Linked DNA regions of Caenorhabditis elegans. The protein of the gene in region 2 interacts with the protein of the main gene of each other region in a pairwise test. Each region holds a gene or a part of one and is shown on either strand. Other genes may lie near its edges.

Region 1 (7,006 bases), on a different chromosome or scaffold from region 2:
GATAATCGTTCCAAATGTTACAAGGACTCAAATTTAATCTTCCGGATAATAGAATCTAGGATAAAATATCCGGCAAGAAAAGGAGGAAGATGACGATGACGAAAACGGCTCTGCTTAATTGCAATTTCTGACATGGTTGTGTGCATGTTTGTATGCGTAGGAATGTGTTGTCGTTGTTGTTGAAGAAGAAGTCGATTTCAGCCAGAAAGAAGAGGCAACACCAAAGCAGAAGAATGCAATTCAAACAAAAGAGGCATGAAAAGCAACGAGCAGAGACACAAAATCCTTTCGAAATCAAGGCTTCAAAAGAGCCTTAAAAAGGGCATTTGCTCTTGCAAATTTCTCTCTCTCTCGTGATCATCAACCCCAATTTACTGAAAAAAAGAATTATAGCTAGACCCCAACACTTTGGAGTAGCGCTAAACGTGATGACGACAAATCGGAAAGTGGGCGTGAAAACTAATAATAAATACCCAGGGGCGTAGTTGAGTTATTCCATCGCTTCTGCTTTTTTCTTCACTAAAAAAAACCATCGTAAAACCACACGTCAGCTGAATAAAATTAATATTGAAATCAAGTTGGAAATGAGATGGATACGCAAAAGAAAAAACTTCACATCGCCGTCGTTGAGCAGAGCCAGCAAAAAGAGAAAGTGACAGGTGGAATGTTGTGTCAAATACGAAAATGTGACTCTCCACTTTACATATATGGCTTTTTTGCCAGTTTCTTTCCTTTCTCGGAAAAAAAACACATTTAAAACGGTATCACAGATCGACGCCAGCATCAAAACTAACAGTAGATGAATAAGTAAAATGCAAATTATGGGAAAGTGGTTGCCCCAATGACCAATTCAAATGTTGAAAATAGTCTAATTCAAAAGTTTTTGAGTTCACAAATCGTATGTATTTAAGTAGCATTCTCAAGTTTTGGAAAGGTGAGAAAAAATCTATAAATAGAAAATCAAAGAGTGGGGCGAGCGGGGGTTCGTCTTCAACCTTAACTATCGTGTGTATATCAGCGGGCCCTTTTCCCACTTCTCTTGTAAATTATTCAGGAATCGTGGCACCAAGCAAAAAAAAATGAAAAGAGTGAAAGTACTTTCAATAATAGTTTAGCGAGAACTGATTCAGATTTAGAAATATGCCAAAATCCCAAAATCGAACAAACTTCAAAATAATTATCAGTTCGAAAAATTTGTTCTAAGAATTCAGTAATTATTATACTGAAACGTAAGCAAATATCACTCGGAAATCTAGAGCTCGATCAGTTTCCAGTAAATGTAGCACCACAGGAAAACACAGAAACAGAGCTCTCTCGATTCCGAAGAGGGACTCCGAGAGGAGTCGAGGGGCGCGTGGTGCATTCCTTCTTCAATGCTTCCGTCCCTCAACAACATGACCAGATGACGTCAGTTTAATGGCCAGCGGCCATTCAACACGGCTCCAGAATAGAATTGAGAAGACAGCAAATAACACAGAAAAAACCAAGTGCGCACGAGTGGGCAGAACGAATCGACGGATGGCTGAATGAAAGCGGAAATACGAAGGAAATAGGCAATAAAAGTTGTCAGTTTCTCAGCAGTTTTTCCTTATTCGGTTTCAGTTTTTTTTTTACTTCAATATACGAAAATTGATATTTATAGCGCAAAATTTGGAACAAATTAGCTTTGAATTTTCCTATTTTCTTCGGATTATCGATACGCACGCATAAGCTAATAAATCGTATGTCATTCAATGGAAAAAGTAAATGCTTTGAGCACAGATTAAACTGAATTAAAAAATAAATTAATAAGAATAGTGAGAGATAAAATCAAAAAAAATTTATACGAACATTCTTAAATGGAAGGTAAATCAACAATCAATAATTATACAGTCCAACAAATAAGAAATAACAATAATTTGCAAAAACTAAACATTCTAGCTACCCTAACCAAGATAAATGAAGTGAGTTGCCACGCTCAGCTTCACCTGTCTGAAAGAGCTAGAGAAAAAGAGTGACTGACACTTAAAGAGAAGTCAGAGCTGTCTGTCGTTTTTTTTGCATGGCATTAACTAAAAAGTGAAATTGACTTCAATGATTAATCTATATTTTTCTAAAATACTATATGATTTTCTTGTCAATTCGACAAAAGCTCATTCTTTTCAATTTCAGCCATTCACTCTTTAACCCTTTGTAGCGCTCATAATTGCCTCAGTCAATTCTCTACGTTCCTCCTCTCTCGCTCTCCGCCTCAGCATTTGCATTTTCTTCTGTTCGTCGTCATCCGCATTCACCAAATGCCTTTTACTGATGTTGTTGTGTAGAGCACGGCTCCAGTCTCCACCATTCATGTAAACTTCGCGGAGCACATTCATTATATTGGGAAACGGTAAATATTGTGGCCCCGACTTCCATTTCACGTATCGATGAATCGGTAATCTATAGGCGCGAATATTGGCACGACGAGCAGCGCTCAAAGCTTCTCGTTTCCGTCCCATAGTGACACAAATTCCAATTACATCGGCAGTGAGTGGACCATCGAGAACATCTCTAGCGTTTGATGATATGTAGATAGTGTTCGCAGATTTTCCATAGAATTCTTTGATTCCTTAAAATATTCACGAAATTTTTTTTTCTTCAGATTCTCTTCCAAAATGCAAATTTTTGGCGATTAATCAACAAAAATTCAAATTTATCGATTTATGAATTCCATTTCAAAACGTAACACTAACCCTTTGTCGAGAAATCCGGCAGAATCGTTTGGTTTATATAATTTCCCGTGTAATATCCAACACTTTTCGACAACCATTGTTCCAAAAATTCTTTAGATGGAGAATTGACAAAATCCAGAACAAATGGACTTTTGGCCGAGAAATTCTCGCTGATCGTGTACTGCATTTGATTTCCGAGCTCTCCAGAATCGCGTTTATTCATTTCTTCGACATATTGAATATCAAGTGCGATGCGTGGTGCTCCGGAATTCATTGCGGCAAATATTTTGGACCCTTCGATATTATTCACTCGTTTCTGATTTCTCATCGGATTCGAAATGACTTGATACATCTCTGGTCCGTATCCCATTCCACCAGCTGTATAAATTCTTTGCTGCTCTTCCAAAACTTTCTTGTAATTCTCTGCACCGGAACTTTGAGCTTTATTCCTACTTCTTCTTCGCTTATCAGTGACCGCTAGATACTCCCAATATCCAATCTTATCGTTTATCGATTCACAAATTAAAGTTTGTTTCCATGCTTCATCACTCATTCGTGTCGGAACATACTTTCCCATGTAAACGAAGATTTCAAACTCCTTGAGTGCAGTCTCATACTTTTCCTTGAGTTCTTTTGTTAAGCTTCGTTCGAATACTTTAGATGGTTTCAGGCTTTCAAACGATACTTCTTCCTCTTCAACTGGTGCTGTTGCTGATGACGATGTAGAGGAAGAGCCTAGTGCTCGTGCTTGACCATAGCAAACGTGGCGCTGTGGCAGGAGAGCTCTGGCGAAGAAGCGAGTGAGAGGGAACATCTACCTGCAAGAATCAACAGTTCAGTACATTCGATTCAGATATCCGGTAACGACATTGTGATGATAAAGTGTAGAAATTAGCGGATATCATGGAATGTACAAAACTGTTGACCCATCTCAATATCGTCACTGGGTAATAGGTAAGGGAATTAAAGTCCAGAAGTAGAGAAAAAAGTCCAAAAGTTAGCAGTCCACGTTAGCAACATAAAAGAAAAAAACCTAACCTTACTGTTCGTTGCCTGAATGATGACTGATCCGACGATTCAATTCGAGTCCTTTGGCTTTCTGAAAATAACTTAAATTTAAAAAAATCTGCTTTGAAAATTCACAGCTCACCTTTTTAACAAAGGCACTTAGTTTGGCAGACTGCCAGTTGAACTTTTATTCCAGCTAAACTGCTTGTATGGGCGCTTTCAATTGAATTTTACCTGAAATTTAGAATATATATTTGAATGAAACAGTTCCACAGAAAATAGGAAAGTGAGAAAATGAGAGGTGAAAAAGAGAGAAAGAGGGCTTGTTTACTATCGCAAATGAGTTACTTATCTGCATCAGATGGATGGCAATAAGTGGGAGGGAATATTTGTGCATTTTGAACGAGAGTGAACGATCGGAAGAGAAATACATGCCGCACCTTGTGTTCATCATATAACAGGTTAGCTTTATAAAATGAGCATTCTTTTAATTTGAACTATTGCTTGTGTTAGAACATTCACCTAACAGAAAATGAGCGTGATGAAAAAATTATGAGTTTAAGCTTTAAAAATCAATTCAATGAACATTGACGTCATCAATGTTAGAAAAAATATCACAAGCGGGAACACAAACGAACTGTAGATATTAAAATTATTATATGATATGGAAAATATTACGCCTAATAAAGTGATAATATATTGAGACACTATTATCGCAAAAAAGATGATCGACGAGTGGCCGCGACACAAGGAGAACCGAACGAAGAAGTGGTGCGCTGGGTGGAATTCAAGGTCAATCGAACCTACAGGTGGCGCTCCTGCCATTTTTTGCCGCTTTGTTCGAAGGTCAGAAGGCTAATGAGGAGTGTGGAGCTCCATGAATTTTAGGAAGAATATTGAATAACAATTTACTATGAAAAAGTTATAAAATTGGCAGCTTATTGTGAAACTTGAGATTACAGAAAGCGGATTAGAGAACAGATCCTGATAAAAATTAAACTCACTTTTCAAATGTGCAAACGTTTAGTTTTATTGTACAGAAAACTATTTAAATTTGTTTTAAAACTGTTTTTTAGGATTTTGATCAAGGAATTCCGTTTAAATTACTTCAAAATCTGACAATGTTGAGAAAATGAAAACTAAAGCTAACGAAAACTTCACAAGAAACAAATTTCGGAGGAGGAAAAACATTTAAAGTTTCAGTTTACATAAATGTTCTCGAATGCAAAAATCTATATAAGAATATAGCAATATGAAATCGATTTTCGTGGACTTTAAGGATTTCATGGTAACTTGAGCTCGTGATAAGTTTGAACTATGATCGCTCATTGAAAGAATCCTAAAATTATTGTTCCCAAATTCTTGCCGTTTTCATGAGAAGCGAAAGAAAAATGAATGAAACAAAAGAAAAGCGACAAATCGACATTAAAATTTTAGAAATTTTCAAATGTTCAGTTTAAAAAAAAACAGTGGAAAAACAAGAGGAAATCAGTTAAAATTCAGGGTTTGTCTGAGAGTCAGTAGCAGAGAAAAGTGAAATAGTGTGGGAAACGAAGAGAGTCATACAAAGGGCAGATGGTGTAAACATTCGATTCGACGGCAGATTGCACACAAAAACTTACCGTAGTCAAGCGTGAGAACTTTGGCAAACAATTTTTTCTTGAATCGGATGGGAAATGATCACGCAAAACTGACTCTGTTTACTTATTTACACGAACGCTTGAAAATTATTGAAATAAAATGTCTATCGATCGATTTTTGAATGATCAAATTCACGTTGAAAATAAAAAATAAATTGTTGACAATAAATGTGTTAAGAGAAAATTCTCACGCAAACAAGATCACGTGGTGGGAATTATGTTGTTGTCGGTTTCTTTAAAAACTGAATGTTGGAGGACAACTATACAATTTTATCGTATTTACCTAAACTATTTAAACTGATACGATTTCTAAAATTAAGATTATTTTAGAGAATTCTCGGAATAATATCTCTCGCGAAAAGAACTTCGAGTTGTTTTAAAAATTAAAGTTATGAATTTAAATATTCTGATTAAATTCCTAAAGTTTGAATTTAAAAAATAAAACATGAAGTAAGAAAAGGAACATGGAAATAATCGGATTTTTATTTAGAAGGATTTTTTCATTTACCTGTGTCGGTTTAGGCGGAGTACGGTATTATATTTTAAGATTCAGTTATTATATTGCACCAGAATAAGAAGTATTGCACACTCTAATTGGACATATAACAATGAAAACCTGAAAAAATTTATCTACTTTTTCCTCAATCTCCCACGTCTCTACATTACCTTAACCCCTACCAAGAAGTGCGATTTTCAGACTGCTGCTTCTCCTCATTTTTTCTGTTTTTATGTATATCCTTTGCCAGATTTTCTTTCCTATTTCTCACAATAAGTCAGTTACCATGGAAATCGTCGGTGAAGGAGCTCCAATAAAAATCCGAGAATTTGATTATGGCTCCGTTGACTCCCACGCCGGCAAACAAGCGCTTATCCGAAGAAGCTGAACCAATCACTCACACGGCTACTTCTTGACGACGACGAGGACTGATTAGCTTTTCAGTTTGAGCTACTGAAATTTTTTCGGGTTATCCCATTCTGCTTTAAAATTTTCTTAATTCAAGTTTGAGAACGGGCTTATTCTTGTGGGTCTTCCCACGATCAATCCAGGAAGAGAATGACAAGAGTCTTCAAAGCCACATTCCATGACCCTAGAAGGACTTAAAAATATAAATATTGAAAAGAACCCAATAGTAATTTTAAACGAGACAGGCTTCTTTCGTATATTTGCATCCTCGTAAAGTCTTTTTTGTTGGACAATTTCTTATTTAAAAAAATCACCAAAATTTTCTGAATGTTTTTCAGACTGAGTAGGACATTATTTTTTAAACTTCTATCATAAATCTCGTGTAGTTTCATGAAAAACTCCCACCCATTTTCCCACTGTCATGAGTCAACGGGAAAGCAAAATTCGAGTACAAATTAGTGTTCTCCATTTAATTTGTGGCGTTCAACACATAACTCGTTCGCCCCTTCATTTTTTCTTCTATTCTTGGTAGTCGCGTATCACTTCTTATTCTGATCAAATAAATTTTTTACAAAAAAATTAGAGCTGAGCATTCAGATTTAATTATTTTTCTCAATATCGTGAGAAAAGGTTTATTCAATTTTGCTTCAGCCACTTGCTACAAACTACACCATCTAACGGCTAACACCATGTTCAGCGAGCATAAGAAGAAGCAGGAAGAAGCAAAGGTTTGTTCTTATCTGTATTCAAAAACGAACCGTTAC
Region 2 (6,537 bases):
ATTAGATGAGGGAAAAAAGGAAAATGATTGTAGGAATGCTTTTTTAAGGGATTTTTGATTTTTTCAACCACTCACAGTGGACATGAGGGCAAGAAATTTGCAGGAAAATTGAAGGAATGTTAATTGTGAAATTCAAGAAACTCTACATTTTTTGAACGATTTCAGACGTTTTGAACTTCCCAAAAGACATACGTTTTGTAACGTTTTGTGAAAAATTCCGGGCTTTTTAAAGTATCGGCATGATATTTGTCCGTTTTGTGGCAATTTTGAGACATTTCATGGACCTGGAGGGACCAGCAAATCGACAACCCTTTTTGCTCACTTTTCAATTTCCGATAATAGTGTACATAAAGAGACTCTGAATGTTTGAAATTCACGGAATTTCCCAAGAGTTGGCAGAAAAAATTACAGCAAAATTTGAGGATAGTGAATTAAACATGATTATGAAGGATGGAACAAAGTGAGCAAAAAGTATTGTCAATGTACGATGTACTGTTTTTCAGAGGGTTTTCTGCCCTAAAAGTTATTTTCTTTGCATTTTGATAGGAGTTTTGAGTTCAAAAAGGTTTGATAGACAATTAAAAACGACTTCTTTTTTGAAAAATCACAAAAAAAATCATAAATTACCAAGACGGTAACTGGCAACAAACATGAAACAAAATCAGAAAAGAGCAACCTCTTCGTGTGCTGGTACAATGAATGAATGAATGAATGAATAAGAAATGTGTACTGTCGATCTGACAGAGCAACTACGACAATTGGGCGGAGTTTAGGTGTACGCATCTGTTTGTCAATTGACATTCCGATCGATTGTTGACCATTACAGTGGTATATCGATCTGAAACTAGGGTACTTTGGTCAAAAAATGGATCTTGCTGCTGTTTCATGAGGTTTTTTTCCAATTATTTTGGATTTATTGACAAGGAAAGAATGGAATAGAAAATGTTAAATTTCACATCAACTTTGAAAGCTTATATCTCAGTTATCGTTTGCCTTATTCAAAAATTGTCAACTAACAAAATATTTATTAGCTCTTTTTCTATAATTTTGTAACTAATAATATATTGATATCTTTAAAATGAACCGAGATATAACGTTTCAAAGTTAAGTAGTCGGGTGCAATACTAATAGAGGAAATACGGTATTTGAAACCTTAAAGACTGCTTCATAGGCTTGAAAATATTAACGGATTTGCATATAAAATAATGGTCTTACAAATTTCCGTAATAAAGAAGGGAAAAACTATTTTAAAATGCAGTATTTGTGCTCAAACTTCCAATTAACTATAGGCATTGTAGGTATAACATAATAATTTTTCCGTGCTCATTCAGTTGCTAGTTACCATTCCCCGTGTTTTTTCTGTCGACTCCTGGAAGGTTCTATGATTAACAAACATTTTGACCCTCCTTGAATCGTCTTTTGTGTAGCTGAAGTCGAGTAGAAGTTGCTTCTGCCGGTTTTTTTCTGAAACTCAAGAACAAGACGCTAAAAAGTTATGTTGTTTCTGCACTAAAACAATACGCATAAAACTTGTCTCATCTCAATTTTTTGAACAAAGCAAATGAAATATCAAACATAGAAGAAAATTTTTCATCGAATTCTCACAGGTTTAATTTAATAATGTTATCACTTGGAGCACATCACATCAAAGTCCCCATAAGAGGCAGTCCTCCTACACAAGGACTGTCCTGAGAAGGTTTCTAGGTTTGTTTTTTTCTAGGTTTGTTTTTTTCTATAATCCTTCGTTTGGTCAGAGATGTTTCTTTACAGATTTATAGCATACACAAACACTGTCTCTCCCAGTCGATCTACAACAAAACACGGATAGCCTGTACGAGAGATGCACGACGCAGACGGGCAGACGGTGGTCGTAAATGTTCGCGGGCCTTGCTCAAAAGGTCATTATGCAGTAGACTGTCGGTCTCTTCTTCCTGTTCTCTCATTTTCATTTTCTTTATTTTATCCAATTCTTTTTTTTCGAATTGTAAGTTTATGAATTTTCCCTTTTCTCCTCTATAAGAGCCATTTTTATTAAATTATTCCAATTTGTAGTTTTCACTTCAAAAATGGTTCTGCAATTAATCTTTTTTTTTTCAAAAGTAATCCTGCGCCTTTAGACTGTTTCGGTACTCCATTCCGCTAGGCTAATAAATTGACCTAATTTTTAGGTGCCAAAAAATGTCAAAAGAACACTCGTAAAACTTTGATCTACTGATTTTTAATCCGTTGGCTGATGTGGGAACGGGGTAGTCAAATCTATGTGACCTTGCGCGCGCAACTTATCATTCTGAAAATTATGCTAGTTCTAGAAGTTCCTCGAAAGCGTTTTTCTAGAATATTTAAGTTTAATTTTTTTCACTTTTTTAAGAACTTACTGTTTCAAGAAAAAATACTTGAAAGTTTCGTTTTAAACTGTTAGAGAACGGATCTTTAAAGTCGGTTGAAATTGGAATTCCTGCGCAAGTTCTTAATTTTCTGGACGAGAAATATATAAAAAACTGTTCAAAACTAAAACAATTGTCGCCTGGGAATCTGAAATTCTGCTAATCTTGAGCTGGGTTTTCACTTACTTACTGTCCTCTAGTGCACCCAACAAACTTTACTTTGAAATAATATATAAATTTTTCTTTTCATTGCCAGTTCTGACGTTCTTTTTCTTTTTTTTTTGAAATCCTTATAATTCCAAAATTCCAGATCATCATCTCTACTTGTCATGTCATTCATTGCATATCCATGTGCTGTTCCAACTCAGCGCCAAGTTCCAATGTCTCCTCCAACAACTCCACGGATCCTCATGAAACTCTGCCCGATCATGGAGATTCCCATCATTGGTGGACCCCGTCAAAATGGAACCTACAATGTGTTCATCTTCGACCTAAAAATCAGGAAGTTCATTCCACACAGATGCTCCAGTTGTGCAGTGAAGATCCTCGAAGATCACCTGTCACCGATGTATGCCTCGGGAAGTGTGATTTTTATGAGAAATGAGGTTACGCAAGAGGTGGAGCAGTATGTCTACTCGTTCGAGACTGGTGGCTTCCAGCAGGTCGACTATCCGGAGTTGGTTTACTCGGCTGAAAAATTCACGGAATCAAGTTTTATTGTGATGATTGAGAACTCTGATGGAAAGAAAGTTCTGATCGAGCGTGGAGGAAACGAAGCAGTTCGGAAGTTGGAGTACAGACTTGGGAAGTGCGTGGAAATGCCAAAAGTTGAGGTTCAACTCTTGGCCGCCGAAGAATTTGATGACGCGGATCCATGGTCTGACAACGACTCCCTCAGTTCTGAACATCTTGACTACAATGAAACACTTCCAGCATTTAAAACCACATTCTGCCAAGACTTTCAGATGTACGTTCTCTACATTATCACCAGCCGTGGTCATTATGAAAAGTACATATACAATCAGAGCACCAGTCAATTCGAGATCCTCGACTGTGAGAAGTGTCCGGATACAACCAGAGAAGTGGATCTTCTCCCCAAGTATGCAGAGTTTTGCGAAGAGATTCAGGCTTATGTGATTCACGTCTTCAACTCCTTCACAGATCGCATGGAGCAATATGTCTTCGACTCGAAGATTCAGGGATTTGTTGAAGTGAATCAGCCAGAGCTGAAGTATGACTCATCGAAGGATCAGGATCCGACTTCGAGCATCTTCTTCGTTCTCAAAGGGACAACAGTGATCATGAGGGGTGCACAAGGAAGACTGAAGAAGGAGGTATATTGCTCGATCAAAAAACATTTCGTGGAGGTTCCCAATTCGGTGATCAAGAGTTTTGATACTCAGTTTATGGAGAAGAAGCAGAAGATGGACAAGAAGAAGAAGGCCAAAAAGATCAAGAAGTCCAAGAAGAAGGCATCCAAAGAATCTCAAGAGTTGGATGTCTTGGTCGAGAAGATCCGTCTTTGTGATGATCCGTTTTCTGATGGCCCATCTTGCTCAACTTCTCCAGATATTCCGGAGGATGCCCCAGGTAACCCTTAACACTTAATCCATACTATTATTCATTTTTCTAAAAATATACTCATTTCAGACGATGGCATGTCAATTCTCAAACAAAAATTCGTGGAAAGCCTGACAACTCTCTACGGCGGATCGTTGCCACCATATGTTCAGAAGGAATTGGAACAGATTTGAGGATTTGGATTAAAATTAGTTTTTTTTGTTAAATTGCATATTTTTTTATTTTATTTTGTCTTGCGGTCTCATTTTTCTTCCCGATGTTCCATAAATAAAAGACAACTGTAAATTTGTGTGCCTTTAGAAACGGCGGGAAAAAAATCATTGCTGAAAATCTTGCTTGACGTCATAGTCTTTTAGAATGGGATTGCCAGGTTCTCTTTGAGGCAAATTAAAATGGGGCACGTTTCCAAAAGAAATCCGGCAAATGGATGTAATTTTCTCTGATTCTATGAATCTTCTGTCCACATTTGTAGTCCAATTCAAGGGTGGGCGGCAATTGCCGTTCGGCAAATTTTTTTGTCGACAAACTCGGCAAAGCGGCAAGATGCCGATTTGCCGGAAGTTTTGAATTCCGGCAATTTGCCGGTTTACCGATTTGCCGGAAGTTTTCAATTCCGGAGGTTTGCCGGTTTGCCAATTGCCGGAAGTGTTTAGAGGGGCTTTTTATATGACAGAAGCACTTAAAACTGTGCCTTTTTGAAATTTTATTCCGTTTTCTTTAGATATATTCATAGAGTTTGCTTATTTTTAAAAATAGATGTAGGAACATTCATAGGATGCGTAAAAGTCTGCTGAGTGAAATCGAAATTCTGAAATTTCCAAAAAAAATGTGCAAAACCACAATTTGCCCGTTTTTCTGGCAAATTTGGCAAAGCGTCAATTTGCCGGTTTGCTGATTTGCCGGAACTTTTCAATTCCGGCAATTTGCCGATTTGCCGGAAATTTTCATTTCCGCCAATTTGCAAATTCCGGCAAAAAATCATTTGCCGTCCACCCCTGGTCGAATTACTCTCAGGTGGATCGCGTCCTTGCTCAGTGTCTGGGAATTTAAGCTGACCTTGCTTTGTCTTAATAATGGGAGTATAGGAGAAATTTATGAAGAAATGTGAGAAGTACATGTAGCCAAGATATGGGCGGTGCCATATTCAGTTCATGCTCCGCCCATATCTTGGATACTTTTCTGTTCAGATTGCCGATAATTCTTTCTATTAGATCAGCAGCCGTAACATGTTGAGATTTACCATATCTGTAAAATCAGTTCCCAGAAATTTTGTTAAAAACCATCAATATACTACATTCGTTTGTAGATCTTCTCCTGGTAGTCGTCTCAATCTTACATCAGTCGATAAAAACATCTGCCAATTCCCACCTCTTTCCCGAATCTGGTATCCCAAGAGCTGAGTATCGATTTAAATTGGTTGCAGCGTTTGCTCCAGATGCTCTGAGTTGTCTTGAAGAGCAGAAGACATCATTCAGTCTGCCTGCATCGCCTCTAGTAGGTCGTTTTTCTTTTCTCTAGTCAGTCTCTAGAGCTCCTGTTTCCATTTTTTTGTTCTCGGCTATGAACTACAGTATTTGTTTCCTTTTTGCCTTTTTCAAATATGATGTATTCTTGAAATTGATATGTCCGTAGTTCCCTTTTCTAAAAGTGTATCTTGTAGTTACTTGTGGTTTTACCAAAAATTGGACAAAAAATATCAGTTGTACTTTGATGGTTTTATTCAAAACTTGATTTTAACACAAAGGAGGACTAAAGACGCTATTTATGCCCCTGATACCAAATATCGATGTGAAAAAAATATAAAAAATTTCCGTGATTTTATATTAATTTATTAAAATCCCAAAATCCTATTTAACGCCGAAATTTTCGTCAGAAAAGGCATCGCCCATAAAAACCGTACCGCACTTGTGGATTTACGAGATTCATATTTTCGATTCATTTTATTTAATTTTCAGCCCTAGCAGTAGCCTTACCTAAATTCTAGCCCACAAAATTTGTGCATCTTCCCGCCTAGTATTATACAACAATCTGTATTGATTGCTTATTCCCAGGTGTTCTGTACGCGGAGTTGGCGGGAGCATTTACCAATCGATAAACTTTACTTGATACGTTTATATGTCCTGTTGCACTCGTCGTTTTGTATTAACTCCTACAACACTTTTTGCTCACTACTTTTTCATTTTTGATTTTTTGCAGTGGTTCTTATACTTCTAAATTTCCTTTAAACTCCTATTTTTAATCGCGCCTGGTAATTTCACTTATCACTTTTTTATTGCATTTGTATACGTTTTCAATTATTCTTAATCTAACTACACCTTAATTCCAGAAAAATCTCCAAGATGACACCTCTTTCTGCTCTTACCTCCAATCCAGCGCCTTCACCTCCACCGAAGTTTGCACTCGGAAAGTGCCCTGCCACTGCTATCCACGTGGTCAGTGTTCTTCGCCCAAACAGACAACGCTTTTGCTATGAGAAAACGGATGCTGGTGATTTGATCCCTCACAAATGCCTCATATGCCAACCAATTCTCACCGAGAAGCACATTTCTCCGTACTACGCTGTCTACAGTGA
Region 3 (10,153 bases), about 12 Mb from region 2:
TCATTTGACCTTATTTTACAAAAAAAATGTTGGATTTTGTTGCAAAAAAGCTCTAAATTTCATGCCTCACCTGCAAAAAAAAAAAGTTTTAGTCTTTGTACGTTGTGCAGTCTATCTCCCGGAAGTCTCAAACCTTGTGACCCTCTGCTTCATGGGGCTCCATGGGCTCTCCGGTGAGCCCGGCTCATCGGAGAGCTCAACGTGTTCGGCAAAAAGTCGAAACACTTGGCTCAATCAACCTGGAGCACAGCCCCCCCCCCCCCCCCCCCTCCCGATTTTCTCTGCGCTTCATCACATTTGTTCGCACTTTTTGGGGGGGGGGGGGGGGGGGGACAGACCCGGCTCCTCACCCCATTGTAATTCAATTTATCTATTGCTGTGCCTCTCTCTTCAAGGTCTTCAACAGCACAATTTCCTCCCCTCTCTCTCTCTGGCCTCCTATTCGCTCTTCATTCCTCTTCATTTACTAGTCTCTTATATTTTTATATTTTTCAATTTTTCTTCAATTGTTATTAGTATTATTTTTTACTTTTTTCCTCATAATATGACGGATTTGGCGACGTGGCCTTAAAAAATTAATTTGGTGGCCGAACTTTCTCTCCTACGGCCACGAAGGGAATAGGAGCTCTGAAGGATTTGGAGGTTTGGCCTTAAAAAAGAATTTGGTGGCCGAATTTTCTCGTACACGGCCACGCCACGTAGAAAATATGATCTCTGAAGAAATTGGAGGTGGGGCCTTCAAAATTAATTTGGTGGCCGAGTTTTCTCGTACACGGCCACGTAGAAAATATGAGCTCTGAAGGATTTGGAGGTTTGGCCTTAAAAAATAATTTGGTGGCCGAATTTTCTCTCCCGCGGCCACGTAGAAAATCTCTGAAGCTCTGAAGAATTTAGCGACGTGACCCAAAAAAAAGATGATGGCCGAATTTTTTCGTACACGGCCACGTAGAAAATTTTTGAAGCTTTGAAGGATTTGGAGGTGTGGCCTTGAATAAAAGTTGGTGGCCGAATTTTCTCTTACACGGCCAAGTAGTGAAAACCGCCCATCGAAGTGGTCCTGTACTTCAATTTGAGCAAAAAAGTTTTAAAAAAGTTTGTGGCCGAACTTTAGTATGCACGGCCATTTTCCACAAGTGGTTTCTTTTTTATAAAGTTTTGGTAAACCTTTTTTGATAGCCCGAAAAAGTTAGTGGCCGAACTTTCTCTTTTACGGCCACGTAGGTAAATATGCTGGGCCAAATTTTTAGCGTAGAAATTCCAGTGACCTAGTTTTTCCCTCTCGTGGCCTAGTTCTCTAGAAACTCTTCGACATTTGGTTTTTGAGCTAAAATGAGCCAAGAAAAAGCGAAAAATAAGGAACAATAGGCACACTTAGAATGACCAATTACTATTTTATGAGAGAAGCGCCGCCCGTCTTTTTTTTTCTTCTTTTTTCCCTACTTATTCTCTCCTCTGTCCGCTATTAATGCATTTTAAATTTGGCATTGTCATTTTTTGTCATATCTGAAAAAAATTTCAAAATCCCACGGGGTTCTGGCCTTCCTCATTGAATTTTCGCGCTCCATTGACAATCGCCTGCCGGACAACGCTTGGGAAAGTCGTGTACTCCACACGGACAAATACATTTAGTTTTACAACTAAAATCGAGCCGCGACGCGCCGTAAATCTACCCCGAATATGGCCTGGCCTAGTTCGGCAAAAACTCTTCCATTTCAACTTCTGAGGGACGTCAGAAATCCGTGCTAGTTGTGTTTAATTTTTCTTCACACATTTGTTTATGTTTTAGAGTGGCCTATGCAACGACACTCCGATGTTATGCGCGTGTTGTTTAGAAATAAGCCACTAGGTACATACTAAAAACTGTGAAAATTTAGCACCTGGATCGTGGCGAGACCCACTCGGAAAATCAGCGTGTTCCTTTAAACTGACATGTCAAATTTGAGTGATGTCCCTGCATATTCATTTTTGAAGTTCTATCACAGTTGGGGAGTAATGCGAAAACTCTTCCAACTCAAATTCTCCGGTGACCTAAAAACTCGGAAAACTCTTCCACCAAGCAGTGGACATGGACCTTAAATCTACGAAGAAAACATGGAAGGTGTGTAATGTAATTTCAAAAAATTATTTTTTTTGCCCAAAAAAAGGACAGTAATGGCTGAAAAATGGCTGAAAAAAATTTTGGAAACAATGAAAAAAATTGTCTAAATTTGTTGAAAACGGGTAATTCATATATGCAGAATTCAGAAAATCTAGGTTTAGAAAACTATTAAAAAGTGGCAAAATTGAGCAATTTTTGTAAAAAATTACAATTTTAAAACTCTTCTAAAATGGATAATTTTGAAGCTAGAGGACTCAAAATTGATCTCCGAACCTTAAAAATTGTCTTCTTGCATAATTTAGTAGTTTCGAACATTTTCAGAGAAAATTTTTTTTTGCCCGAAAAAAAGGACAGTCATGGCTGAAATATGGCTGAAAAAATTGGGGAAAAAATGTAAAAAATATCTAAATTTGTTGAAAATTTTTTGGGCGAAAAATTCCCGCATTTTTTGTAGATCAAACTGTAATGGGACAGCCCAGGTGTCTCTAAAGATTCCCGGTAACCTAGAAATGCCAAAACTCTTCCACCATCCAATTTCCTCACTCTTCCTGCTTCCTGTTTTTCACCGAACCCACCCAAGTCATTTTTCATCTGTCTTTTTTTTCTTCTATTTTCTTTGTTTCGAAACGGCTGAAAATGGGAATGTGGAGGCTTTAGTAACCCATTAACGCCCCGCCGTCACACCGGCTTCTCCTCTTCTCATTTCGTAGTACGGCTCCCTCCTCCGAGCAGCTCTTCATTTTTCCACCCCCCCCCCCGCTGCTCCAAATTATTCGTTCACGTTCTTTTTCCCCACCCAAAAATTTCACTTGCAGATACCATCTTTCAATCAAATGTGGGGAAAAATAACCTCGCATATTGGAGTATGGTTTGGGCTGGAGGAGGCCGAGAGGCCTATGAGAGCATCGTGCTCACTGTCTATGATACATCATCCACAGCTCACCGCTGTTAGGAGTTCGAAGTCGTCGGAGAACTTGCATAGGGTGAGTTTGGTATTTTCAAGAAAAATCGAAAAACCGAAAAAAATTATAAAAATTGAAATTAAAAAAACGCCTCAAAAACGAAAATTCGTCGATATTTCGATTTTTCGATTTTTCAAAAAGGGTCATTTTTTGAAATCCTAGGCCACAGTCGGTCGGTAAATGAGGATATTTCTTGTAAGCCTAGGCCTAAGCGTGAACCTAGGCCTAAGTCTAAGCCTAAGCCAAAGCCAAAGCCAGAGCCTAATCCTACGCCTGAGCGTAAGCCTAAGCCTAAGCTTAGGCCAAAGCTCAAGCCTAAGCCCAGTCCCAAGCCTAAGCCTAAGCCTAAGCCTAAACCTAAGCCTAAGCCTAAGCCTAAGCCTAAGCCTAAGCCTAAGCCGAAGACTAAGCCTAAGCCTAAGTCTAAGCCTAAGCCTAAGCCTAAATATTTCGATTACGCTCCACATATTCCAGATCACCACAATGTCGCCGCAACGAATTCAGGACGTGGACGGCTCGCCGAGCACCCGGAAGGTCAGTAAGTCACGCCACCCCCTCTAAACTTCCGGCGATTCTGCATCTCTTCCACAAGACACAAACACAAAACATTATTCCAGCCGTCCTCGTCAATTTTCACTTTGCGTCGGAGTCGGAATAAGGAGAAGAAATACAAGAATAACGGCGGTGGCGAGTTTTTTTTTTCGAAATTTTAGCCAATTTATTCTATGGGGTGCGGGGGGTGGCACAAGTTAGTCAGTTTACACAAAAATGCTCTCCAGAGTCTTCTCCCAAAAAGGTTAGTTCCGAAAACATATGAGCCCCCATATAATTCCACATTTATTTCTGTTTTTTCAGGAGGCTCCACCAAATCTCCGATCTCGAAAAACGGAACAAATGAAATGACACAATCATGGCACTCCAATCATGTGAATGGGGCATCATCGGGGTCCGGAAGTGGAAGCACACCAGAACATCATAATAAGAATATTTTCAGCTTTTTGAGGTAAGTGGTGGAGATTCTTATTAGGTTGTATATTGAAGTAAGACTATAATTACAGTAGTTTCGACACCTTGTTATGTTTGTTATAACTTACCACGTGGTGTCAAAGTGCCTCATTTTGGTTTGATCTCCGAGAAATGCGGGAGAAGAGACGCAGACTTTTCAACTGGTATCGCATGGTTAAGAGTGTGCTGACGTCACGTTTTTCTGGGGGAAAAATTCCCGCATTTTTAGTAGATCAAACCATAATGGGGCAGCCTGACACCACTTGACTTACTAGTTATATCTGACCACAGGCAAAGCCGGTACGGTCCGTTTACGGATCTTGGACCGGGAACGGACCATTAACGGGTGAACTACGGATATGAAAAGCGGGACGGACCAATTACGGGCAAACTACGGGGAATGTAAAAAAATGGCCATTAAGAGGAAAAAATGGATTTTAAGAAAACGAATTTTTTTAATACCTATGATACCAGTTGGCTAATTTAAGCATTTTTACGTCGTTAAATGCATTATTTAGAGCAAAAAACACATTTACCGACCGAGACGGCTCTTGAGCCGTAGTTGGGCCGTTTCCGGTCCGTAGAATTTTCTTTTCAAAAAAAAAAAATTTGAATTTCCCGCCAAAATTTTTTTTTCTCAGAAAATTTGATTTTCCCGCCAAAATATTTTTGTCAGATAATTTCAATTTCCCGCCAAAATTTTTTTTTCTCAGAAAATTTGATTTTCCCGCCAAAATATTTTTGTCAGAAAATTTCAATTTCCCGCCAAAATTTTTACAGAAAATTTGAACTTCTCCCCAAAGTTAATTCCCAGAAAATTTGAATTCCCGCCAAAATTTTTTGGTCAGAAAATTTCAATTTCCCGCCAAAATTTTTTTGTCAGAAAATTTCAATTTCCCGCCAAAATTTTTTTGTCAGAAAATTTCAATTTCCCGCCAAAATGTTTTTCTCAGAAAATTTGAACTTCCCGCCAAAATGTTTTTCTCAGAAAATTTAAATATCCCGTCAACACGTGGTGTCAGGCTGTCTCATTGCGGCTTGATCTACAAAAAATGCGGGGATTTTTCCCCCAGGAAAATGTGACGTCAGCTTAATCCTGCAAAATCAGTTGAAAAGTCTTTGTCTCAACTCCCGCATTTTTTGTAGATCAAACCAAAATGGGGCACTTCGACACCACTTACGCCAACATTTTTAATCAGAAAATTTAAACTTCCCGCCAAACTGTTTTTCTAAGAAAATTTTCCGAATCAAACCCTAGTAATACCATTTCAGCCGCCAATCACGTTCCCGCTCCAACAATCCATCTGAAACCATGTCAACCGTGCCCCTAAACAAGAACTCTCCATCAATGCCACCACCACCATCTAGCAACACTGTGGCCGACTTCACACATCTTCGAAGACGTCGACCACGATCAGCACACTACGATCCAAATACGATAACGCTTCCTGCGAAGGAGGAAGTGACACCGCAGGATGTGAATGATCTGTACAAACGAATTGACAAGCTGGGGGAAGGATCTTATGCAACGGTGTATAAGTGCGAATCGAAGTTAGATATTTTAACAGCTGATATTACCAAACTAAATTATATTTTCAGACTTGACGGATCCATAGTCGCCTTGAAAGAGATCAAACTTCAATTTCAAGAAGGTCTCCCATTCACCGCTATCCGTGAAGCCTCGCTTCTCAGAAACCTCCGTCATGCGAATATCGTCTCTTTGCACGACATCTTCTATCAACACCACCAGCTAACTTTTGTGTTCGAGTACATGAAAATGGATTTGAGCAAGTACCTGGAGCAGAACGTCTATGGGTTGGATAGCATTGACATCAAGCTTCTCCTCTTTCAACTTCTCCGCGGACTCGATTTTTGTCATAGGAAGAAGATTCTTCATAGGTTAGTTTTCAAACTGCTCCCTAGTGTTGATAGGGCTCCCAGCAGAGTGAGGCGCGAAATTCGGGCCTCACGCCGACGCCGTTGAAGCGCGAAAGGTGGTCATTTGGAGCGGCCGACACGTTCGGGGTTCCGCAGCTTGGCGTGAAATGAGTAGCCTGGTGTGTGCGCAATGAAGTGCGTAGAAGTGGTTGTTCGGAGCGGCCGACACGTTGGGGGTTCCGCAGCTTGGTGTGTGCTCAACGTATTGCGAAAGGGAGTTGTTTGGAGCGGCGGACACGTTCAGGGTTCCGCAGCTTGGCGTGAAATGAGTAACCTGGTGTGTGCGCAATGAAGTGCGTAGAAGTGGTTGTTCGGAGCGGCCGACACGTTGGGAGTTCCGCAGCTTGGTGTGTGCTCAACGTATTGCGAAAGGGAGTTATTTGGAGCGGCGGACACGTTCGGTGTTCCGCAGCTTGGCGTGAAATGAGTAGCCTGGTGTGTGCGCAACGTAGTGCAAAAAAGTGGTTGTTTGGAGCGGCGGACATTTTCGGGGTTCCGCGGAGGCCGGCGCGGCGACCGCTGGGGTCGGCGGAGGCGCCGTTGCGGCCATAACTCTTGATAAAAACTGATTTTCAGAGATTTAAAACCACAAAACTTGCTTCTCGACGAAGACGGTGTTTTAAAACTCGCAGACTTTGGTCTAGCCAGGGCGAAATCTGTGCCGAGTAGGACATATTCTCACGAGGTGGTCACTTTATGGTACCGCCCGCCTGATGTTCTCATGGGAAGTACCGACTATTCAACTTCCCTGGATATGTGGTAGGAGGATATTATTTTATAAAAGGTACCAACTATATCTACTAACTTTGCAGGGGAGTCGGTTGCATATTCGCTGAAATTTGCACGGGCGCCGCTTTGTTCCCGGGATCCAAGGACTCTCACTACCCCGGCACCAAGGACCAGTTGGATATGATCTTCAGCATTCGGGGTACTCCAGACGAGAAAAAGTGGCCGGAGGTGAGGGAATCTAAAATCTAGAGATAAAGATGTTTGTTTCAGGTAAAGACATTACCAGGCTACACCCCTGAACTGTTCCCCAGGTATCGGGAGTTGTCGTTCATCGCGGTGAACCCGATGTTCACGAAGATTCTGAAGACTGGTCAGGAACTTCTGGGGATGCTTCTTCAGGTAAGTAGACTTGTAAAAACCACTCCTTTAGTCCCGAAAAGACCGAATATCATAATAAAACGTTTCAAAAAAATTTTGAAAATTTTTTATTTACTGTAATTTTACCACTCATAATTTTGGAAGTCGACCAACAAAAAAAAAATTTTTTTTCCTACATTTTTATACTGTAATTGTGTTTTAATTATTTGTATTAAAATATTGTAGGGGTCGGAACATGCGACATTGCTCTAGATTTCCTCAATTGCTCATTTTTCAAAATTTTAGCAGTTTGCCAAAAATTTGACCTGAAATTGTGAAAAATCTAATTTTTTGGATTGTTTTATTATGAAATTTGGTTTTTTTTTCGGATCATTATGTATGTATTTTGACAAAATTTTCACTGGCGCTACTCCACCTTTAAGTCAGTCCAGGCCTACTAGTCTAATCTTTGACAAATCAGTCTTCGCGAGCTATATTGAGCAGCAATCTTTGAGTGCAAGCTCAAGCCGAAAGCTTAAGCCCTGGCTGCAATGCTAGTCTAAATGAATCGACATCGAGCTACACCTATCTTGTAACCCTCAAAATTACAGCTCCGCCCGGAAAGCCGTGTCTCCGCAGCCAGTGCAATGCTTCACCCCTACTTTGCCTCATTCCCCCGCGAGGTTCATCTCCTGGCTCCAAGCCAGTCAATATTCCGGCTCAAAGAGCTGAAAGATCTGCGATCACTATAACGACCAAATCTACTACATCTCCAATTTCTTTACACATATTTTCTTGCTCCAAATTGCTACGGGTGCTAAAAGCTAATATAAATGTATGTATGTACTTATTTGTTTTATTAGTCATGTTGAATTATTATTACGAGGTGGTATTTATGTGATATGTGAGAATCGGAGGGAGTCGCTTCAAGTTATGAACGTGTTCCTGGGCATGGGTAGCATTGCTGAAAACTTTAAGATAAGGAAGCTCATTAAACCAACACCTACCGCTGTTCCGAAGTCTCTCTTCCTCCGCTTCAGACCAGTATCCTGTGTACAGATGTTACAGTCTTCTCCCAAAAAGTTTCTCTTCACTCTATGCCGACACTGTGGGAATGCCATGCAATTCTGCTCCGAGACGTTGATATTCGGCTGCCCGAAGTTTCTCTTGACACGATGTGGCGTGAGCCCAGAGACTCCACACCTCGAGCACTTCTTACGACGGAACACGGCTTCTCGTTTGGTTCTCTTGTCTGCATAGACTTTTTGGAAGACTGCGTACTCGACGTTGTTCAGGCAATCGTCACTTTGTTGGCAGGAGCGGCGTTGCTTTCTGCGGGTCTCGATGGTTTCCTCAGAGGATTCGTCGTCCTGAAATGAAAATTTTAAAATCCGCATTGATGTGACGCCAGTTGAGATCTCTGCGTCTCTCAACTCCCGCATTTTTTGTAGATCTACGTAGATCAAACCAAAATGGGACACTCTGACACCACATGAACCAGATCAATTTTTGGTGTGCCACGATGAAGTACACGCGTAAAATCCAGTAAATTGTTGAAATCATTGTGAAATGACCACGCCAATAATTTTTTGAGTGTAAAAAGTCATGAACTGTGTCAAAAAAATGGTGAAAACTGTGGAAATCCCATGAAGAAAGTCCATTTTAGGCCAAATTCGTCACTTTTGGGAGTTAGATGTGCAGGTGGTCTCGCCGCGAATACAGTATCCTTCTCAGTGGCGCGTGCGCGCGTGATTCAATTAGGGGGTTTTTTTTTTGGAATTTTCAAAAAGTTCTTACAGGATCTAAAATTTCAGGTCTAGTCCTCACCTCATCATCATCATCAAATCCTTCCTTATACCCCTTCTTTGCTCTGATATCCGCGATAGCTTCGCTCATCGTCATATGCTTCTCCACCTTCTCGACTTCTCTCTTCTTTCTGCTAGCCAAGGCAAGTGTCACCCATGCCGGACACGGAACACAGGATGCAGCATTATCCGGAGCGAAGAACTGCCGCTTGACTCTCTTGTGCTCCTCCATCGCCATCTCGTACTCTTCCACCAGCTTCTTGTGCTCCTCCACAGCTTTGTAGTACGTGTCGAGCCGATCTGCATTTCTCTTTCTTCTCTTCTTCTGAGCCAGAACACAGGCTGGGAACTTCATGCATCCTCCTGGATTGTTGCCACCTGAGGAGGCCTTGGATAGGAGCTTCACGATATCCAAAATTCCTTTTGGATTGTAGGCTTGTCGTTTGCTTCGCTCATTGATACTGAACTCATCGTTATCACACTGTTCATCTGCATATCTTTTCTCTCTTTTCAAGCACTGATCTCTCTCGGCTTCCCGCTTCTTTCTACCGTAGTGTCCATTGCATGGCTCACAATATTGGGATCCGATCAGGTTTCTCTTATAGCGACGGACATGCAGGGTACATTGTGGATGAGGAAGGCACTGCAAAAATAAATTTAGCTTCGTTAATTTCTATGAGTCAAACTCACGCCAGCTCTCTTAGTTCTGTGCCCGGCGAGTGGAGTTCCAACTGGCGACTGCGATCCGCGTGGCGTTTGATCTCCGAGGAACGGGTTCCAATCAGAGTATTGTGGTTGTAGGTAGGTACACGGAACACAATCGAGAGACCGCTTGGTTCTCTTGAGCGGAGTTCCGTTCAGACACAGCTGGCATGCTCCATTTCCAAAGTTCATGTTTCTCTTGACTCGAACGTGGGCTCTTCGGAAGTCGTAGAGTCTTCCGGCTGTTGGAGGCGATTCCACGTGGTCAGAGGATTGTTCGATGAGCTTTTTGGTGACGGACACTTGAGATGTCTTGGTTCCAGCAACGCGGGATTTTGATTTTATTATGGTCTTTACCGGCTTTGAAATCAGAGTCGGTGGGGATTGTTGACCAAGGAGTCCGACTGAAAATTTTTTATTTATTTTACTTATTTTCAGCGTTTTGAAAATCCACGTGGTGTCAAAGTGTCTCATTTTGGTTTGATCTTCGAAAAATGCGGGAGAAAAGACGCAGACTTTTCAACTGATTTCGCATGGTTAAGAACATGCTGTTGGGA
Region 4 (6,098 bases), on a different chromosome or scaffold from region 2:
CGTCTTTTAGCCTTGGCACGTCTTCCCATTTCCTCTGAAAATAGTTTTATGATATTGGAAATGCTGGAAATAAATACCTTCAATTCCTTTTTCCGTTTGCTCGCGGAGCTGTTCGTTGAATGAAACTGCTGTCAGGCAGTCGGCGTCGAGCAATCTGGAAATTGGGAAAATGTGAAACTTTTGAGCAAAAAAATGTGGGAAAAGCTTACTCGAGCTCCGAATTAGTGTAATGGACGAGCTGAAAAAAGAAAAATAAATAGAATAAATAGTTAAAACTTTTTTTTTGATAAAATTTAAAAAAAAAATCACTAATCTTAAGATTTAAAACCACAAAAACTACTTCCTAAATTTAAAAATGTTCCAAAAAAACGTGTCAAAACCGCCTCGAAACCGCCACCCACTAAAATCCCGTAGATTTGGATCTAATTTGACCCCGAAATCTTCGCGAAAAACTGCCTAAAATCAAGATTACGGACATTTTTTGGGAAGGAACACGACTGTTCACTTTCACTGATGTTTAGAAATAATAGATGGAAAAATAAAGTGAATATTTGAATTTTCCATAAAATTAAAACCAAAATTTCGAAAATCTGAACAAAAAAACCAATTTATCTCCAAAATCTCTACATCTAGCAAAAAGTTATCAACTAACAAAATGTAGCTCTCTAAATTTCCTACATTTTCATAGTTGAAAATATTTTTATAGATCACTTCCCCGCGGAGATATACGCGCTCAAAGTTTGAAGCTGTGAGATATAGTGGGGGTAGGGGAGACGCAGCGTGCGCGCGCCGCCTGCGTCTCTCCCCCTCCCACGCACTCTCGTTACTTGAGCACATACTGATATTCTAGAAAAAAACCTGCATATTCGGAAAAAAACCGAGTTTCTTTTGTTAAATTTGAAAAAAATTGAAAATTTTCACGTTTTGAGAATTTGGAATTTGGATTTTTTTCCAAACTTCGAATAAAAAATTCAAAAAATCAATAATCGTCGTTTTATGAGGAAGCTTTCAGAATAGCAAAAGTATTGATTATTTCTAGAAAAATTAATTTATTTAGAGTACTAAAGCAGGTCCTGAATGTTCTTAACAGGAAAAATATAGGCCTTGAAATTTCCTATATTTTCTCAGTTAAAAACTTTTTTCTAGCACTTCTCCCCGCCGAGATACGCCTTTTCAAAGATTTAAGGCGAGAGAGTGTGGAGGGAGGAGAGACGCAGTGTGCGCGCGCCGCCTGCGTCTCTCCCCCTCACACACTCTTTCGTCTCTTTAGTTCCGAACGCGTGTATCTCTGCTGGTAGAAGAGCTATCAAAAAGCTTTCAACTAACAAAATATAGGGAATTTTAAGACCTATATTTTGGCAGTTGACAAGTTTTTGATAGCGTCAAAACTAAACTCCTTACCGCTTCATTCGACATTTTTCCAACACAAGAGACTTCACTTTCACCAGATTTGAGAAGGAAAATATTCGGAAATGATTGAAAATTGACTAGATTTTTCTTTTTTTTTGAAACAAAATAACATTTAACAGGGGAGGGGGAGGAGAAATTGTGTTTCACGTGAAAAATATTTTTTTGCAAATTTTTAAAAAATGCTCCAAGTCTCTTTATTATCAGAAGTATACAATAAAATCAATAATCTATTCCTTAATTTCAGCCAAGAAAATAATGCAGACTTCTTTTCCAGAATCGGGACGAGTAAGCTGCCAATTGACTTGAATAACTTCCCCTGCTGGATGATTCTCGGTGATCGAGATCGATTGTTCGAAGATTTGATTTTCGCCGGCGGAAACTGGGCATTTTACACCTGAAATTTGAGATTTTCAGAATTTTTCAGTCGGTGCACTTTTTTTTGGAAAGTTTTAAAAGTTGATTTTTGGCGCAGTGGCTAACAGGGATGGCTGGGGCTCACAAGACCGGGGTTCGAGACCGCATGCGGGTTTTTTGTTTTTGCAGGGCTTGCTTGCATGGCTTAAGGGCAATTCATATCGGAATAGCTTTAAAAAATTTTTCAAAAAATTTTGAAAATCAAAATTTTTAAATTTTGTCTTTTTCCTCACTTCAATTTTAAGTAAACTATTTTTAACTTAGATTTTCAGATTCTACGGGGCTTCAGCTTTCAAATGACCCCCATATTGCCTATATTCCGCTGTTTTTGAAAATCGAGCCTCTATGCGCCTTTAAATTCGCGTCGAGACTAAATTTTTAATTGAAAAACTCGAAACATTAGAAATTTTTGAAAAAAAAATCATACAAAATTCAAAAAAAACATTTTTTTCAAAATTTTTTTTTACAAATTGTTCACATCCCCCAAAACTACAGTAACCCACCATAAGTACAAGCATCCGAGTTAGTTTGTGGGAAGTCAACCATAGCACTGCCGCCAACCTTAGCGCGCACGGAGGTCTTCAGTTTGTCGGTGTCCTTGCTTGGTTTGAACGCGATTTGAATAATTGGCCGGCTTCCTTTCTTGAACAGGCAAACTTTCTTCCCGTCCTTCACTGTGAGCTCACATCCGTCGGCTTTTACTTGGGATACGGTACCGTCGGATTTGCACACCTTGTAGCCGATCTCAATGAACTCGGCGGCGGCCAGGCCAAGCAATGCCAGGAAAATTACGGTCTTCATACTGAAAATATATACCTCTTAAAGTTTCTACAAATGTATTTGAAATAAGAGCATCAAGTGCTTTTAAATAACACCCATATTGACTTGGTTCCGTTAATATTGAAAAAAATTGGGTCCCGCCACGAAAACCTCCGGGGTACTGTAGCAACATTGCTAAACTTGAACAAGCTAATTTTTCCAGCTGGAAAACATTTGATTCTACATTCTACAGCAAAAATTAACAGAAAATCTTGGAAATGAGCAAAGTTATGGATTTTCGAAAAATTTCGAAAAGTAGGCATTTTGGAAATTTTAAAAAATTACTGTAAAGCTTTTTAATTTGAAGTTAACACTGAAATTATACTATTTTCGTGTTCAGCGCACCGAGGGCTTTCGAATAACACCCATATTGACTAGAATCCGTCAATTTTGAGTTTTGACCTACCTATGCGCCTTCAAATCGCGACGGGACCCGAAATTTTCGATATAGGTTTTGATATCTCAAATTAAAAGATGATTAAAATTCTGAATTTTTAGCAAGGTGATGTGCTTTTTCGCTGCTTTTTCTTGAAGAGATGGCATCAATTTGGAAAATTTGAGTCTCGCAACGAAAATTCAAATTTAGGCGCAGATGGTCGGCAATTTTCGAAATCGGCGTAACTCCATCAATATGGGAGTCATTTGAAAGCTCTTGATGAGCACAAATCATAATTCTTGTTCTTCAAACAAAAAAAAATCTAAGTTGAACAATGTTACGGCAGATTTAAAAATTTAAAAATTTTCAGAATTTCGAACATTTTCGAAAATCCACAACTTTTTTATTTTTCATAATTTTCTAATAATTTGTACTTCACCGTATATTTGAAAAATGTAGTTTTTAGTAAAAAATAAAAACTACAAAAATTGGCGTTTCCTACAGTAACCCCAAAGGTTCTCGTGGCGGGACCCAAAATTTGCCGAAGTTTATCAAAATGGTCGGAACCTAGGCAATATGGGGGTCATTCAAACGGGCTCAATGAGCTGAACTCGAATATTAGCTTTATATTTAAAAAAAATAAATTTTCAGCTATAAAACTTGATTTTTAGCTTAAATTTTTCAGTAAAAAAATCTTTAAAATTAAAAATGTTCCAAAGAGCACAATGCGTGCTTCAAGGCAAGCCCATCTGCCACACAATGACCCCATATCACTTCTTGTCAATTTTCGAACAGTTGTCCCCATCATTTCTCTGCGGTCTCTCAACTTTACACTATCTTTGGCTCCTCCCATTTTTCTTGGGCTCTGGTGTGGTGGCTCATAGGCGGCTCAGAAAGCTGATTTATTGGAGGGAAGGATGGAATGGGAGAAGGGGACGGGAAATTCGTATCACAATGCGATAGGAATGTTTCTGGGAAATTGTGGAATTTCGGAGAAAATTCGGAGAAAATGGAAAAAAAATTGAAAAAAAAATCAATAATTTATAAAAGTGGTATATCATCATCGATTGCTGCTATCGAACAACTATCACCCAGCATTGAGTCACCGGATACCGGAGTTGAAATTAAGTTTTCTCTGAAATAAAAAATTTTTAAGTTTTGAAAATAAATAAAAAATTTCTCAAAATTTTTTGTTTCTCGAAAACATTATTATATGTTTTATTATATTTTTTAAACTTATTTGATTTGTTTTTGACACACTGAGACCTTTCAAATAAGCCCCAAATTGTCTCGGTTCCCCAACTTTTTCAATTTTTGGGTCCCTCCACGAAAACCCCCTAGGTTACGGTAGTCTAGGTAACTGCTTGCTTAAAAATATTTTTACAGAGTAGAAGAAGTTTAACCATTGTGTAAGTCAAAAATTAGAGATTTATAACTTTCAAGGTTTTATCTATTTCTTTGCTGTCAAATAAAGTTTTTAACGTTGTCTAGCAAGAAAAATTAGCAAAACTCAACTGCGTTGAAATTTGCTACAGTACACTCAGAGATTTTCGTGGCGGGACCCAAAAATCTCAAATTTCTCGGAAACTAGTCAATATGGGTGTTATTTTAAAGCTCTTAATGAGATTACCATGAAAATGTTGTGTATTTAATATTTTTCGTAAAAATTATAAAAATACTGAAAGATTGAGATTTTTTGAACAAAAATATTTTTTTTCGAAAACAAGTTTTTCAAAAATTTATAACTTTGGGAATTTTCAAGATATTTGGCTGGTTTTTATTTTAAACTTTAGCCCAAGTGTTTATTTATCTTGTAAAATATTTTTTAAGTTGATAGCATGATTACCGTAATCAAGAAGTTTTCGTGGTGAAACCTAATTTTCAAAAAAAAAATTTTTTTTTTGAATTTTTCTTTTTTTTTTCAAAAAATAAAAATCCCCCCTACCCCTGATAACTTTTTGCGCACGATCCATTCCTATAGCACCGAGTCTTTCCATTTGCAACTACCGTAGTCGTGGAGGTTTGCATGCCTTCTGGCAGCGCTACGTCATCATTTTCCACCTCATTCTCATCGGGAATTGTCGGAAATTGTAGAATCAGGCTTTCCAGGTTTGTATTGGGATTTTGATTGTTCTGTAGGAGGGTCTCAATGGATGCTCGGCGAGCCGGAGGTCCGGTAACGAGTAGATTTATTCCGTCACATAATCGATCGATATTTGGGGATCTAAAAACGTTTTTATCTTAATTTGCGAAAAAAACCCTGAAATTGTGCAATATTTGCAACATTTGAAAAGATTCAAAATTTTGGAAAAAAATTCGAACATTTTTTTCCGAAAATTTTCGAAAATCCATAACCTTTTCAGATTAACTGCTTTTTGGTTAATTTTTGCTATAAAATTTTGCAAAAATATGGAATTTTAGTGTAAAAATATTATTCATTAAGTAGCGCGCCTATGTACAGTAACCAGTAGGTTTTCGTGGTGGGACCTAAATTTTCATTTTTTTGGGATGAGAGGGGAACCTAGGCAATATGGATGTCATATGAAAGCTAATTTTGAGCAGATTTCAAAAAGTGTATGAAATTCTTGAAAGTTTGAAAATTCGAGAAAAATCCTGGAATTTTGGAAATTCGAAAAAAAAAAGTCGAACTTTTTTTCGAAAATCCATATACTTTTTGGTTTTACAGCTTTTCGACTAAATTTTTTACAACATTTTGCAAAATAATTTTAGTGAAAAAATATTATCCATTCAGCGGAGTACCTAACTGCAGTAACCAAAAAGTTTTCGTGGTGGGACCCAAATTTTCTTCTTTTTTTTTTGGAAAAGGGGATTCTATGCAATATGGGTGTCATATAAAAGCTAATTTTGAGAAGATTTCAAAAAGTGTATGAAATCCTGGAATTTTTAAAATTCGAAAAAAAAAATTTACGAAGTTTTTCGAAATTCTGTAAATTTGCTAGTTTTAAACATTTTTGGTTGATTTTTTAAACAAAATTTTTCAAAAATATGGAATTTTAGTAGAAAAATATTATCATTCAGCGGAGTACCTAATTACAGTAACCAAAAAGTTTTCGTGGCG

Evidence for each region.
Region 1: the proteins of T04D3.1 (region 2) and trmt-10C.2 interact in a two-hybrid assay, tested with the Caenorhabditis elegans proteins (one large-scale study listed by BioGRID).
Region 3: the proteins of T04D3.1 (region 2) and cdk-14 interact in a two-hybrid assay, tested with the Caenorhabditis elegans proteins (one large-scale study listed by BioGRID).
Region 4: the proteins of T04D3.1 (region 2) and heh-1 interact in a two-hybrid assay, tested with the Caenorhabditis elegans proteins (one large-scale study listed by BioGRID).

Annotation. Positions count from the first base shown.
Region 1 is NC_003281.10:6,343,213-6,350,218, reverse strand, and holds trmt-10C.2 (tRNA MethylTransferase), read right to left. Parts: upstream 3,939-7,006; 5' UTR 3,841-3,938; intron 3,790-3,840; 5' UTR 3,772-3,789; coding exon of another isoform or gene 3,730-3,771; 5' UTR 3,729-3,729; intron 3,509-3,728; 5' UTR 3,505-3,508; coding exon 2,712-3,504; intron 2,588-2,711; coding exon 2,163-2,587; 3' UTR 1,809-2,162; downstream 1-1,808. Other genes in the region: C56G2.9 (DUF4604 domain-containing protein), read left to right, coding at 6,932-6,970.
Region 2 is NC_003279.8:13,300,469-13,307,005, reverse strand, and holds T04D3.1 (NTF2 domain-containing protein), read left to right. Parts: upstream 1-2,694; 5' UTR 2,695-2,713; coding exon 2,714-3,974; intron 3,975-4,034; coding exon 4,035-4,138; 3' UTR 4,139-4,247; downstream 4,248-6,537. Other genes in the region: Protein sepa-1, read left to right, coding at 6,305-6,537.
Region 3 is NC_003279.8:839,524-849,676, reverse strand, and holds cdk-14 (Protein kinase domain-containing protein), read left to right. Parts: upstream 1-2,913; 5' UTR 2,914-2,931; coding exon 2,932-3,081; intron 3,082-3,185; exon of another isoform or gene 3,186-3,506; intron 3,507-3,534; coding exon 3,535-3,594; intron 3,595-3,677; coding exon 3,678-3,747; exon of another isoform or gene 3,748-3,828; coding exon of another isoform or gene 3,829-3,856; intron 3,857-3,915; coding exon 3,916-4,063; intron 4,064-5,337; coding exon 5,338-5,616; intron 5,617-5,664; coding exon 5,665-5,964; intron 5,965-6,579; coding exon 6,580-6,762; intron 6,763-6,815; coding exon 6,816-6,960; intron 6,961-7,002; coding exon 7,003-7,131; intron 7,132-7,700; coding exon 7,701-7,841; 3' UTR 7,842-7,935; downstream 7,936-10,153. Other genes in the region: ZC123.1 (Sperm mitochondrial-associated cysteine-rich protein-like), read right to left, coding at 8,021-8,053, 8,097-8,459, 8,917-9,537, 9,585-10,000.
Region 4 is NC_003281.10:3,196,891-3,202,988, forward strand, and holds heh-1 (Putative protein heh-1), read right to left. Parts: upstream 2,627-6,098; 5' UTR 2,626-2,626; coding exon 2,328-2,625; intron 1,805-2,327; coding exon 1,638-1,804; 3' UTR 1,587-1,637; downstream 1-1,586. Other genes in the region: R148.7 (uncharacterized protein), read right to left, coding at 1-34, 78-154, 210-238, 1,402-1,416; frm-8 (FERM and PDZ domain-containing protein 4), read right to left, coding at 4,061-4,154, 4,965-5,243.